3 linked regions of the Nothobranchius furzeri genome follow. The protein of the gene in region 1 purifies or fractionates together with the protein of each later gene. This does not show direct contact. Links are inferred from orthologs where the notes say so. Each region holds a gene or a part of one and is shown in the gene's direction. Other genes may lie near its edges. The genes, in order: mybl2b, foxm1 and lin37.

Region 1 (3,045 bases):
TATTTATTCTACTGCCCAGCTAAAGCCTCACACACATAATTACTGACCTATTAGCATGAAGCTGGTTATTACAAAGATGTCAGAAGTGATGTTTGTCCCAAAGCCGTGACAACTGGTTAATCGTTTTATTGTAAGATTGGAGTTTGCTGCCTTTATAAATAAAATGGCCGTTTAATCTCCTCTTTTACTAAACGTCGTTTTTTAGAGGCACAAAATCTGCCGACCTGACTTGTTGTTTTCAGTTCCTGAACATGTGGACCAAGCAGGACACGCACGACCTGGAGAACCCGTCCCTCACGTCCACCCCCGTGTGCAGCCAGAAGGTCGTCGTCACCACGCCGCTGCAGCGGGACAAAACGCCGCTCACGCAGAAGGAAAAATCCATGTGAGTGAAAAAGAAGAGAGGACAGATGTTTTCTGTAGCGCGGCGCCTCACCAGATAAAAAATCGTCTCAATTAAAATAAAAAAGATTTTTAAAAGTGATTGAAAAATCACAAAAATGAGAAAAATAAAAAATGTAAGGAAAGAAATGAGGAAATGAATAAGAGCTAATCAGTGGAAACCGGGAAAGGTGGAACGGGTGGAACAAGGAGAGGGTGATGAAGGTCCGACCAAAGCCTGAACAGGTGAGTCTTCAGCTGCTTTTTAAAGGAGACCGCTGAGTCCACTGATCTCAGGCTCAGGGGGAGAGAGTTCCAGAGTCTGGGGGCCACAGCAGCAAATGATCTGTCACCTTTGACCTTTAGCCTGGTGCTGCACAACCAGTAGGCTTTGATCACTGGACCTCAGGGACCTGCTGGAGGTGTAGGGACTGAGAAGATCACCAATGTATGATGGTGCTTGTCCATGTGAGGCCCTGCTGCTTTGCTGTGGAACAGATCAGTGTTTTTATTTTCACTCATGACCTTATTTTTGTGTGTATTTTAGGTTTGTTACTCCGAACCACAAGTCTGGGATCTGCACAACGCCACGAACCCCAACACCGTTCAAGAATGCCATGGAGAAGTACGGCGCTCTGCATCCTCTGGTGAGTCTCGCCCCGGTCTCCTCACAGCCGCTGGTAGGTGTTTGGTTTACTTCTGTGTTTGATTTCTGCTATTTCCTGTTTGGTCTCCTCAGCCCCAGACTCCAAACCTTGAAAACGATATTAACGAAGTCATCCTCAGAGATGCGGGGATAAATGTGGTCGTCATGCGTTCCACTCCACCGGAGCAACGGCGCAAAACAGCGGTAACGAGAGCTTTTTTCCAGTCAGGCGTGAAGCAGCGTGCTTTATAAGAGAGGAAGTAAAACCGAACAATTACAGGCAGCAAGGAGTTAGGAGCACCAAGAAAGCTGTAGCTCCTCCCACTCTAACGGGAAAGAGCGGATTCAGAGAGGTAGTAAAATCATGGAAGAAACGACTTTATGATGTTTTATTTGTGTGACATTCTGTATTGGGTTTGTTTACCTCAATACACCTGCAAACATTACATCCATTTAAAAAAAAGGCCACCTCCTGGCGTCACGTGGTCAGAGAGACGTAACCCGATTGACTAAAAGCCACGCGGCTCAACGAGGTGACGAGTGCTTTGGTCACTAGGAGGTCAGGCCACCTGCCATGCTGAATATCAGCTGCTGGATTTGTACGGGTGAAGTTGACGCTGGTGTATTTTAATTAAAACATTCAAATACATAATTTCACAGAGTAATCAGCATGTCGTGAATTCAGCATCTAAAACACGTCGTTTTCTGTTGAGACGGGTTTGTTCCATATGAAATGATGTCGGTAATCTGAAAAATAAAATGCTGCCAAATAAAACTAATCTGTAATTAAAATATCCAGAATAAAATATTATCGTCAACGAAATTAGATTCCTGATCTAACAACTGAAAAGTAGAAGATAAAAAATAACACGATCTCTGTACGTATACAGTAGGAGCAAATGTACTAATGGTTCTGTACCTGTGCTGGAAATGTTCCTGATTCTAAGAAAACCTCGGTCCATGCCTTTGACATAAATATACGTGGACATCTCCTTTCCATAGGCTCCAATATCACGCTTTTGTGCCAAAATGGGAGGTGGCCACCACCGCCATTTTGACCGTGTCACAGGTTCCGTCAAGCCCAGACAATTCCACAAAAGGAAAGAGAGGTGGAGCTGAGGGTGGGGCTGTAAGGCTGGGATCAACTGACGACACCCGGTCGAACTAGCTACAAGCTAACCTGAAGCTAATGCGGAGGTGGGAGCTAAGCTAACGGAGGTAGCAACCTAGCTACAACCGGAGTTAACTGTGCACAACACCAGAGCTTCTGAGTCAGAGATACGCCGGACTGACCGCTGGGTAAAACCGGGTGGAACACAGAGGTCTCCCAAAAGCTGCCGAAAGCCGGCAGTCCGCGCAGCAGACCGAGATGCGCCGAGCTGCAGGGAGGGGAGAACGGGTGGAAAACATCGGTCTCCCGAGAGCTCCACAAGCCGATAGTGGGAACCCAGCTCCACCAACATGTTATATTTCAACCCATTTTCTAAAGTGTAGCATTATGTTAAATGCACTGGGTTTTACCCTATTACATTTAAATTTCATGGTTAAACAGTACGTGTTAAAATCTAAGCTCAGCTCGGCAGTGACCTAAAATACATAAATATAATTTTACTTACCGAAAAAAATGAAGTGCAGGCTCCTTGGATGCTCTATTAGTGCAATTAATGCCACAGCAAGTCATTTTGTCCAACAATTGCACAAAAAATATCCAAAAAAGAATACACACACACAGAGACTCAAAATCCTGGAACAGTTTCCAGGCCAGACCGAGGCTCTACTGAGGCCTTTCCACGGAGCTAGCTCTGTGGTCACGTGGGTCGGATGCTCATTAATTATACAGAATTTTAGGCTTTTAATACACTTAAACAGAAGAGTGAGAAAAAAATTCACCCCCCTCAGAGTTGTCATGAGTGTAAACTAGATAATTTAAACCAAAAACATGTTTTGGTACCAGGCTGTGAACATGTTTATTTCTGCTGTGAAATTGGTATTTTTAACATGGGAGTCAATGAGGATTT
Region 2 (4,269 bases), on another chromosome or scaffold:
AATATTCATGAGTGAAGAAAAAAAGAATAAATGATAAAATATATAGATATAAATAAATCCGAGTTTGAAAGTAAACAAATTGCATGTAGGTAATTGTATCAAGTGATAGGTGCATGTCTGCCTTCAGGTTAATGCTGCTTATAAAAACTGAATTAAAGGTAAAAGTGATCATTTTGTAAATTCCAATGTTTGTCTTTGGTACTTTATCCCTCCGACAGAACCCTAACCCTAACCCCATCACCAAAGAAAGTATAACCATGCACCTTTAAACGTCTTCTAAATAAATAAACACAAAAATACTTACCCATGAATCAAGAGTTGAGCTGTGCTTCTGTGTCTCGTTGAAAAAATCCCTGGGATTAATTGCTGCTCTTACTTCAGGTAAATGTCGACGTCTGGCGCCACCCAGAGGCCGCTCCACGAATGTCAGGGCAGGCTTGTCTGTCTTTGAGACTTTGCGGGGCATTGATTTAAATATTTCCTGAACATCTGATGACAAGTAAGGAATAGATTAGTAAAACCCCTCAATTAATGTCTGCCTTTGTCAGACTATCTAACAGAATACGGATGTTTACGCTTAACATGCATCAAATTGTATACATCCAAATGCTTTCTCTCTATCTCGGGTTAATACTTACTGCATTGTTGTTCTTTGGACACTATATTCAAATCGTCCCACAAAGTTAAAAACAAACAACAGTTAGTCAATTCATGAAATCATCTTTTGTTTCTACTTCCCGGGTTTCTTCTTTGTCGTCTTTTCTCCGACTTGCGCAGCCGCATGTGGGTGATTTAGCGCCCCCTAGAGTACTTCTTGTCCGTTGAGCTTCTTGTTCCCATTGGCCCGTTTTTACCACGTGATCAACATGAAGGGGGACACCACCCACAGCGCCAAAATTCAAAAACGGTTTCTGACTTGACACGTAAACAACCTGTAATAAAGGCTTGGTAGCTGTCACATATCTTTTATCAAAAATGTAATACGAGCGAAGTGCTCCACAACATCAGCGTTGGAGTTCAAACCAGCGGAGCCGTCTGAAACAAGAAATATGAAGGTCTGGCTTTATTTAGTAGCTTTGCTGTTAGCAATCAGAAGCTACCACCAGCAGCAGTGGTAGCATCGGGCTTTTAAGCTGAAAACCCATTTTCTTAGATGAGACATGGTGTTGTTAGGGCCCAATTTAAGCTTCAAACGTGTCATTGTGTCATAACCTGAAATACTATTTACAACGTATACAACGGTTAGCCATGTCATTGTGAATAAACGTTAAATTATACTTCCGGTGTGAATTTAACGCCTGAATTCTCCAGTTGCCAAGGAATAAAACCTCGGATAACCACTGAGCCGTAACACGGATACGTTAGTCGGAACTTTTTGTCTTAATAGCGTAACCCACAGCGTGTTTTAATATAACATGAATTAATCGTGTGCTTTAATATTAATAGATACGTAGACACGTAAAATAACAACTTAACTTTCCACCGGTGATTTGCGTTACAACGGTTTTCTGATATGATGCAAGCAAGGTAAAGAAAAAAAAATGTGTTCCTAAAATATTCTTTATTTTTTATTTTTATATATATATATTTTTTTTATTTTTCCCACAGCTTACCAGTGAATTTGGATGGACGTTTCAATGATTTGACCATGAGAAGGAGTCCGAGGAGACCCCTTATCCTGAAAAGAAGAAAACTACCTTTTCAGCAAAATGAAGCAGCTGACGCACGCTCTCCATCTGCTGCTTCAAGCTCCAAAGAATCCTCAAAACCAGCTGCCAGTCAGTGCCTCCTAGATGGTGTCCACATCATGGGTCATTCATCCATGTCTGACACTCAGGTGGTTTTCATCCCCAAAGACGTGGATCTTCAGGTTGTTATTGATGCCATTACTGCAAAAAGTAAAGAGTGTGGTGACCAGGGTCCAAGCAAGTTCATCCTTCTGAGTGAGAGTGGAAGCCGGGACAATGGATCTTCTTGTCAAGAATTTGCCAGAGAAGAATCTGTTCCTACGAGGAGTCCAGTTGGACAATCTGTAAGCTCGGAAGCCACATTCAACACTGAAGCTGATCATCAATCTGGCTGTAAATACGGTATGACAGTTTATGCTGTCTCTGATATCTCACCATCCCATATCATTGTCCATTTAAGCACTCTTCTCTTTCATCAGTGATTAAAGAAGCGAGTTGCAGCCCGTTAGACGACAGCCTCACAAACATCCAGTGGCTGGGCAAGATGGACTCCTGTGCCCTAGAGCCGGATTCTGAAGAACAGACGACAGACAAATCGATTCCAACATCCCAGAATTTACAGGTCAGTCTTGCTTCTTTTTGTGTGATGCAGATGGCCTACTGAGTTCTGACAGGACTCCCGAGTGTCCCCTAAAACCACAGACGAACTACTGACTGATTTACAGGCTTATTTGGTTGCTACAATTAGAATGGAGGTTAAATATGATTTTTTTAATTAGATAGTTGGATTTGAAATTAAATATTTTAGTATTTCTCAGTAAAAATTCATCACTCTGGGCTACAGTTGGAGCAGCTTCAGACCCATCTCTAAACTTCCGTTCATCTCCAAGATCTTGGAAAAGGTTGTGGCTAAACAACTCACAGCTGCTCTTGATGAACATAACATCTATGATAGCTTCCAGTCAGGTTTTCGTAGAGCTCATTCTACTGAAACAGCACTTCTTAGGGTCTCTAATGACCTTCTGACTCACAGCGATGCAGGGGACTGTTCTGTTCTGGTCCTGCTGGACCTGACTGCAGCCTTTGACACTGTTGACCATCACCTGCTACTGGAGAGGCTGAGAGACTGGGTAGGCCTATCAGGAACTGCTCTGGAGTGGTTCTCTTATCTCTCTGAGCGCTCCTTTTCTGTGGTCGTCTCCAAGTTTAGGTCCTCCACCACCTCCCTTACCCATGGTGTCCCACAAGGTTCTGTGCTGGGGCCTCTGCTCTTCCTCCTCTATCTGCTTCCTCTTCAGCACATCCTGAGCTCCTTCAAAGGAATCTCCTACCATCTTTATGCAGATGACATCCAACTGTACATCTCCTTTAAGCCCCATGAGATGTCTAAGCTGCAGCTGTTACACACCTGCTTAGACTCTATCAAACCTGGATGGCTGGGAGCTTTCTACAGCTGAATGAAGATAAGACTGAGATCCTCATCTGTGCCCCAGACAAGCTGGTTCCCAAAGTCAGAGACTCTCTTGGTCAGCTTACTTCTCACACCAAACCTTCCGTCAGGAATCTTGGCGTGACCTTTGACCCAGCTCTCACCCTGGATTCTCATGTCAGTTCTCTTGTTCGCTCTTCCTTCTTCCATCTCAGGAACATTGCTAAGCTGAGTCCCATTCTGTCCCGCTCTGAACTTGAGACTGTGCTCCACACCTTCATCTCCTCACGCTTAGACTACTGTAACTCTCTTTTCACGTGTCTGAGCAGAACCTCCCTGAACCGTCTACAGGTGGTTCAGAACGCCTGTGCTCGGCTTCTGACCAAGTCCTCCAAACACACCCACATCACCCCGCTTCTCCTCCAGCTTCACTGGCTGCCAGTCAACTTCAGGGTTCATTTCAAGATCCTGGTTCTGGTCTATAGGGCCTTACATGGACAAGCACCATCTTACATTGGTGATCTTCTTAGTCCCTACACCCCCAGCAGGTCCCTGAGGTCCAGTGATCAAAGCCTACTGGTTGTGCAGCACCAGGCTAAAGGTCAAAGGTGACAGATCATCTGCTGCTGTGGCCCCCAGACTCTGGACCTCTCTCCCCCTGAGCCTGAGATCAGTGGACTCAGGGGTCTCCTTTAAAAAGCAGCTGAAGACTCACCTGTTCAAGCTGGCTTTTGTATGACCTTCTTCACCTCTCTCTCTTTATTCTGCTCTCCTCACCTATTCCACCTTCCTCAGGATCCACTGATTTCCCTCTTTCCTGTTCACTCTCTCTCTTTCTTAACATTTTTTTAATCACAATTGTCTATTTTTGCTCATTTTAATATATTTTTAAACATCTTCTAAATGCTTTTTTCTATTTTTACATTTTTTGTTTTTGTGAAGCGCCTCGTGATTTTTATCTTGAGAGGCGCTGTAGAAATGATACTTTCTTCTTCTTCAGTTGGATAAAATATCCTCTATGATTGTTGCACATATAGATGATTCTCTTTGTGTTTTTTCTGTGACTATTTGCAGCCACATGGTCCATACGCCAGTGCAGAAGCTGTCCAGGGTACCGAAGCAGAGAGACCTCCATACTCCTACATGGCCATG
Region 3 (4,364 bases), on another chromosome or scaffold:
AAAACCAAAAGACAGAGGTCCACAAGGTTCTTCCATGGACACAAACTGTCTCCGGCATTCAGATGAAGTTAGCATAAACTAGGACACGCTGTAAACTTATAGCCTACACAATTTTTCTTTTATGATTATTCAAAAACTAAACACATTTATTTATAAAACATTTCACAAACAAGTCACCAACACAGAGTGGAAAGAACACAACAGGTCAAGGAGGATCCCAGTGAACTCACGCTGATGGATCTGTCACCATGATGCGGTCCAGCTGGGCTGCCGTCTTTCAGAGGGAGGACACGTTCGGGCATGGGAAAGGATCCAGCGGAAAGTTTGTCACAGAAATTTTACACAACCCACGAGCTTGTAATATTTACTGTGTCGTGTGACTAAACACAGCAGAAGTTAAAAATAATACCACTGTTTGATGCTTTAGTAGGAGTTGAACTGTGGACTGATGAGTTAAACATCCACCCAAACGGCATCTGCTCTTCTCCAGCCACCTGCTGCCGTTTCTGAGGCTGACTGTGGCCAAAGCGCTCGATGTGTCTGTAACAAAAACACGTCATGGCTTTGTGAGGCCCACAAATTCAATCATCTCTACGGTGAAAAAACACCAGCAGATTTACTTTGCCATCACGGAATCATCCTGAACTCCTGAGGAAACTGTTGATGTCTCTGGTCTGGCAGGCAGATCGCACGCCAGCATTTCAGGAGAGGACCTGTAGTCAGTGGTGGGCCAGATTTCTGTAAAAACATCTCCACCATCGTGACTCTCCTGTAGCTGTTGGCTTCCTCCATTCTGGGAGTGACACTGTTTCCTAGAGCTCTGGCTGGGATGCACAGGACTCTGCAAAGAGCATAATAATAATAATAATAATAATACTAAAATAAAATAAATCACGTCCCAAATGCTGGACTAAAAAACACAAACATGAGTAAAGGTAAGAAATGTTGGCAAAGCTGACATACATCTGTCTTTGGCAGGGATTGCTTGCGGGATGGATGATGAGCTCTTCTCACAGAGGATGCAGGTGTGAAGGGATTCTTCCTTGCAAACACAGATCCACTATAAAAACAACCATTAGAGATAAAACTATTGTTTATGGTGGTATAAAAAGGAGCTTGTTGGATCTTACCTGGATTTCATAACTATTGAAGAACGGAAAATGTTCTCTTCCTTGTTTTAACCCTAGTGTTCTCACTAGGCGTCGTGAGTTACCATGGACTCCAACGCTACAAATCACCTTTAAGTTAGGAAATTAAAACAGCTACACGCAGCCGCATCTACTACAGACTCAGATTTCCTAAGTTTATAAAACTATAAAAAGGGTGACAAAACACAAAAGCGTCACGCTTTTTTGGTGTTTGCCACACCACTCAGCCAATAAAATCCTCGCTAAAATGGCGCACATGTCATTTGTCCAATCACAGTGGTTTGAACAAGCACCAATCAGCTATTCGGGTGTTACATCAAGATGTGTTCCCCGCCGGAAGTGTTTTCTTTCCCTGCGTCACTCATTTTTATATTTAATCTCTGGTCTTTAAAGCAACGTTATTTTAAGAAAATAGCCAGATAATATCTTAGTAATCTATTATGTTATTTTTGTGCATTCCAGCACGGCAAACAAATCATCAGGGCAGGAGGGGAAAAACTCTGTGTTTAGGTGAGACATAAGCTCGCGGTTACGCCACTCATAAAACTGACTCACTAATTCATAAAATAGACATCCCTTGTGTTTTTATTATGTATCTCGGAAAAAAGTACACATTTTACCGGGAGATGGCTAAAACACTACCAAGTGGGAACGGTTTTCAACCAGGGAACACATTTCGGGGTAACACCTGTTACGCGGAAGTTTGTAGAAGCAAGCTGAAGTTACATTAGCAACTATAGCTGAGCTAATACCTTCCACAGTTCGAATAATAAAACCAGTTGTCTGTACTATTTGAAGCAAATTATTGAAAGTTGTTTTGTCTAAATCATTAGGATAAAATAATATTTTTGCCATAGAATTTCTTCACTTTTTCTTTTACGAATAATCAGTTGGTTAAGCGCTGCTATGTAAGTCAGCTAATGGTGCTGTTGGCAAACAGCCGTTGCAGCCAGGATACCAGGACCCTTTGTTAGAGATCAAACAAGAATTAATTTCAACATTAAAAAAGGTTACAAAAGTGCTGAAAAGAAGACAATGCACCACATCAAGATAAAGACTGAACGGCTAGGTGAGATATACCCACAATATAACATTGGTTATAATTTCGTTCGCTATTTGTGCTTGCTTTAAAGATACAATATACATAACATTAGAGCCCAAAAACGAGAGACCTAGCTCTAAATCGATCTGCTTTTTATGTTACCTAGATGCAGAGAACACCGCTGCACGCAGCAAGTTGGATGCTGTGTTAAAGGGTCTTGTAGAGAAGAGCGAAAATGAGAGGTTAGTAAAACACACTTGACCATAGCTATGCTTTCAAATGATTAAATGCTTTTAATTGTACTCTCATCAGAGAACCAAATGAGGGTGATCCAGGAAAATTATCAGTGGACTCCTTGCACAAGTATGGATTAGTTTTTTTGTGATTTTATCTTTTTATTATGAAGAAGGATTCACACTTTATTTTTAAACAGCTGTAACAGTGTTTCAGTGCAATCATGGAATGCTCTTGTTATCTCTAGGGATTTGTCTCCATCTTCTGCTGGAAAGAGGTAATAATCAGTACTATGTTCTGTAAATGCGCAATAAATGTGCAATACCCAGAGATGCACATTTATATGTGTCTTTTATGCTTTTTCTCCTTGAAAACAGTTATGAATTTTCTATTTTATTCTGTTTTTATGCATTTATTTTGTTGCTGAAGGTTATGGTAATAGCCCAATACTCTTGTGTGTTTACCTGTATTATATTTTCCTATGTCTGTGTGTATGTGCTGCCCTAACAAGTAAATTTCCTCACTGTGGGATCAGTAAAGTCTATTCAAATACCTCATACAATTCTAAATACCTCATACACATACTTGATTTTCTTGTTTTTTTTATTGCAGCATAATTTTTTATCTGCACACATCGTTATATGAATTCAGTTATTTAGTACAGAAAATATTTCAGTTTTTTAAGCCTTTTTGCAAGTCCTCATGTTTGTTTTCATTTTATTTTCAGACCTTCAGCAAGATTTCCACAGCATCGAAGGAAGAAACGGAAGGAGATGGATGAGGGCATACCAGAAACCAATCCGCATAAACAAAGTAAACTCAACTCACATTCCATTAAATGACACGGTAGTATTATTTACCCTGATGTGTGTTTCCTTTGCCTTTGTTCTAGATGCTTATGTTATTAAGTTGTTTGATCGCAGTGTTGATTTGGCTCAGTTTAACACCAGCACCCCTTTATATCCAATTTGCCGTGCCTGGATGAGAAACAACCCTTCTGTTCGAGAGCCAACAGCTTCCCCAAACTCCCCACACAGCATGTTGGAGGAAGAAGTAAGGCTGCACATTCCTGTCATCATTATTTAATTGATTTAATTTTGTTTAAAGGAAATGAAAGCAAAACAACCATAAGAGAAAAAGTGTGTATAGTTTACAAAATATTTCTTCTAATTTAATTGTTTAAAATAAGTTTCATTGTACACAATTTGTGTGAAAATAATATTTGTCTCCTACCCCTCTTCACAATTAAATTATTATTATTATTGTAATTGTTGTTTACCAAGTTATGAACTTTATTTAATTGTAAATTTAACTTGTGATTGTCAGTCTGCATGTTTGTGTAATTTCCTTGAAAAGTTAATGGTTTTTAAGTGCATCGAGTTTGAAAAGCAGTGTAATATATTAATGAAACTTACAAACTGTGTGTTTTTTCATTGCCTAAAACAAATTTATGAATTTTGAAATGAGTCGAGATTTTACCAGTAAGTCCCCTAAAGATGGCAGTATTGCACCATCTCTTTAGCCATCATACCTGAGCTCTCTGTTATTTGTGTTCTATCCTTGCCCCAGGTAACAGACATGATAAACGGCAAAGGTCAGAATGTGTACCGACTCCCCCCTCCTGCTCCCAGCCCAGTTAGCCCTTCAGGTGAACCCATCAATCTCAGGATTCAACAAATTGAAAAACCCATCGTTACAAAGGTGCTTGAACGTTACATTTTTTTTCTCTTCGTTTTGTGTGTGTGTGTGTGAGAGAGAGAAATAGAATTGTACAAATCTTCAGATGTATAAAAATGGTGAATAAGGTTACTCTTTTCACAGTCAAGTGATGCTCCTGTGTCAGAATCCCTAATAAGTGACCACTTGGAACGCTGGAAAATGATAAGGCAGAAGTAAGTTCTTAGGAAAAATTTTATTTAATAAAAACTTTTGTTGCTCAG

The links.
Region 2: the proteins of mybl2b (region 1) and foxm1 purify together in Homo sapiens (affinity purification with western blotting; 3 studies listed by BioGRID and IntAct, with this or other methods). This does not show direct contact. The link is inferred for Nothobranchius furzeri from reciprocal best matches to the Homo sapiens genes MYBL2 and FOXM1.
Region 3: the proteins of mybl2b (region 1) and lin37 purify together in Homo sapiens (affinity purification with mass spectrometry; 6 studies listed by BioGRID and IntAct, counting the BioPlex papers as one, with this or other methods). This does not show direct contact. The link is inferred for Nothobranchius furzeri from reciprocal best matches to the Homo sapiens genes MYBL2 and LIN37.

What each region holds. Positions count from the first base shown.
Region 1 is NC_091743.1:41,540,916-41,543,960, forward strand, and holds part of mybl2b (v-myb avian myeloblastosis viral oncogene homolog-like 2b), read left to right. Parts: intron 1-242; coding exon 243-385; intron 386-928; coding exon 929-1,028; intron 1,029-1,120; coding exon 1,121-1,231; intron 1,232-3,045. UniProt on the Homo sapiens protein: Transcription factor involved in the regulation of cell survival, proliferation, and differentiation. Transactivates the expression of the CLU gene.
Region 2 is NC_091741.1:41,405,810-41,410,078, reverse strand, and holds the start of foxm1 (forkhead box protein M1), read left to right. Parts: upstream 1-1,398; 5' UTR 1,399-1,513; coding exon 1,514-1,527; intron 1,528-1,608; coding exon 1,609-2,090; intron 2,091-2,167; coding exon 2,168-2,310; intron 2,311-4,191; coding exon 4,192-4,269. Other genes in the region: rhno1 (RAD9, HUS1, RAD1-interacting nuclear orphan protein 1), read right to left, coding at 305-466. UniProt on the Homo sapiens protein: Transcription factor regulating the expression of cell cycle genes essential for DNA replication and mitosis. Plays a role in the control of cell proliferation. Also plays a role in DNA break repair, participating in the DNA damage checkpoint response.
Region 3 is NC_091745.1:37,814,259-37,818,622, forward strand, and holds the start of lin37 (protein lin-37 homolog), read left to right. Parts: upstream 1-1,530; 5' UTR 1,531-2,183; coding exon 2,184-2,217; intron 2,218-2,352; coding exon of another isoform or gene 2,353-2,356; coding exon 2,357-2,432; intron 2,433-2,502; coding exon 2,503-2,553; intron 2,554-2,671; coding exon 2,672-2,701; intron 2,702-3,151; coding exon 3,152-3,237; intron 3,238-3,316; coding exon 3,317-3,477; intron 3,478-3,993; coding exon 3,994-4,125; intron 4,126-4,245; coding exon 4,246-4,316; intron 4,317-4,364. Other genes in the region: proser3 (proline and serine-rich protein 3), read right to left, coding at 231-274, 410-540, 621-841, 964-1,060, 1,131-1,141.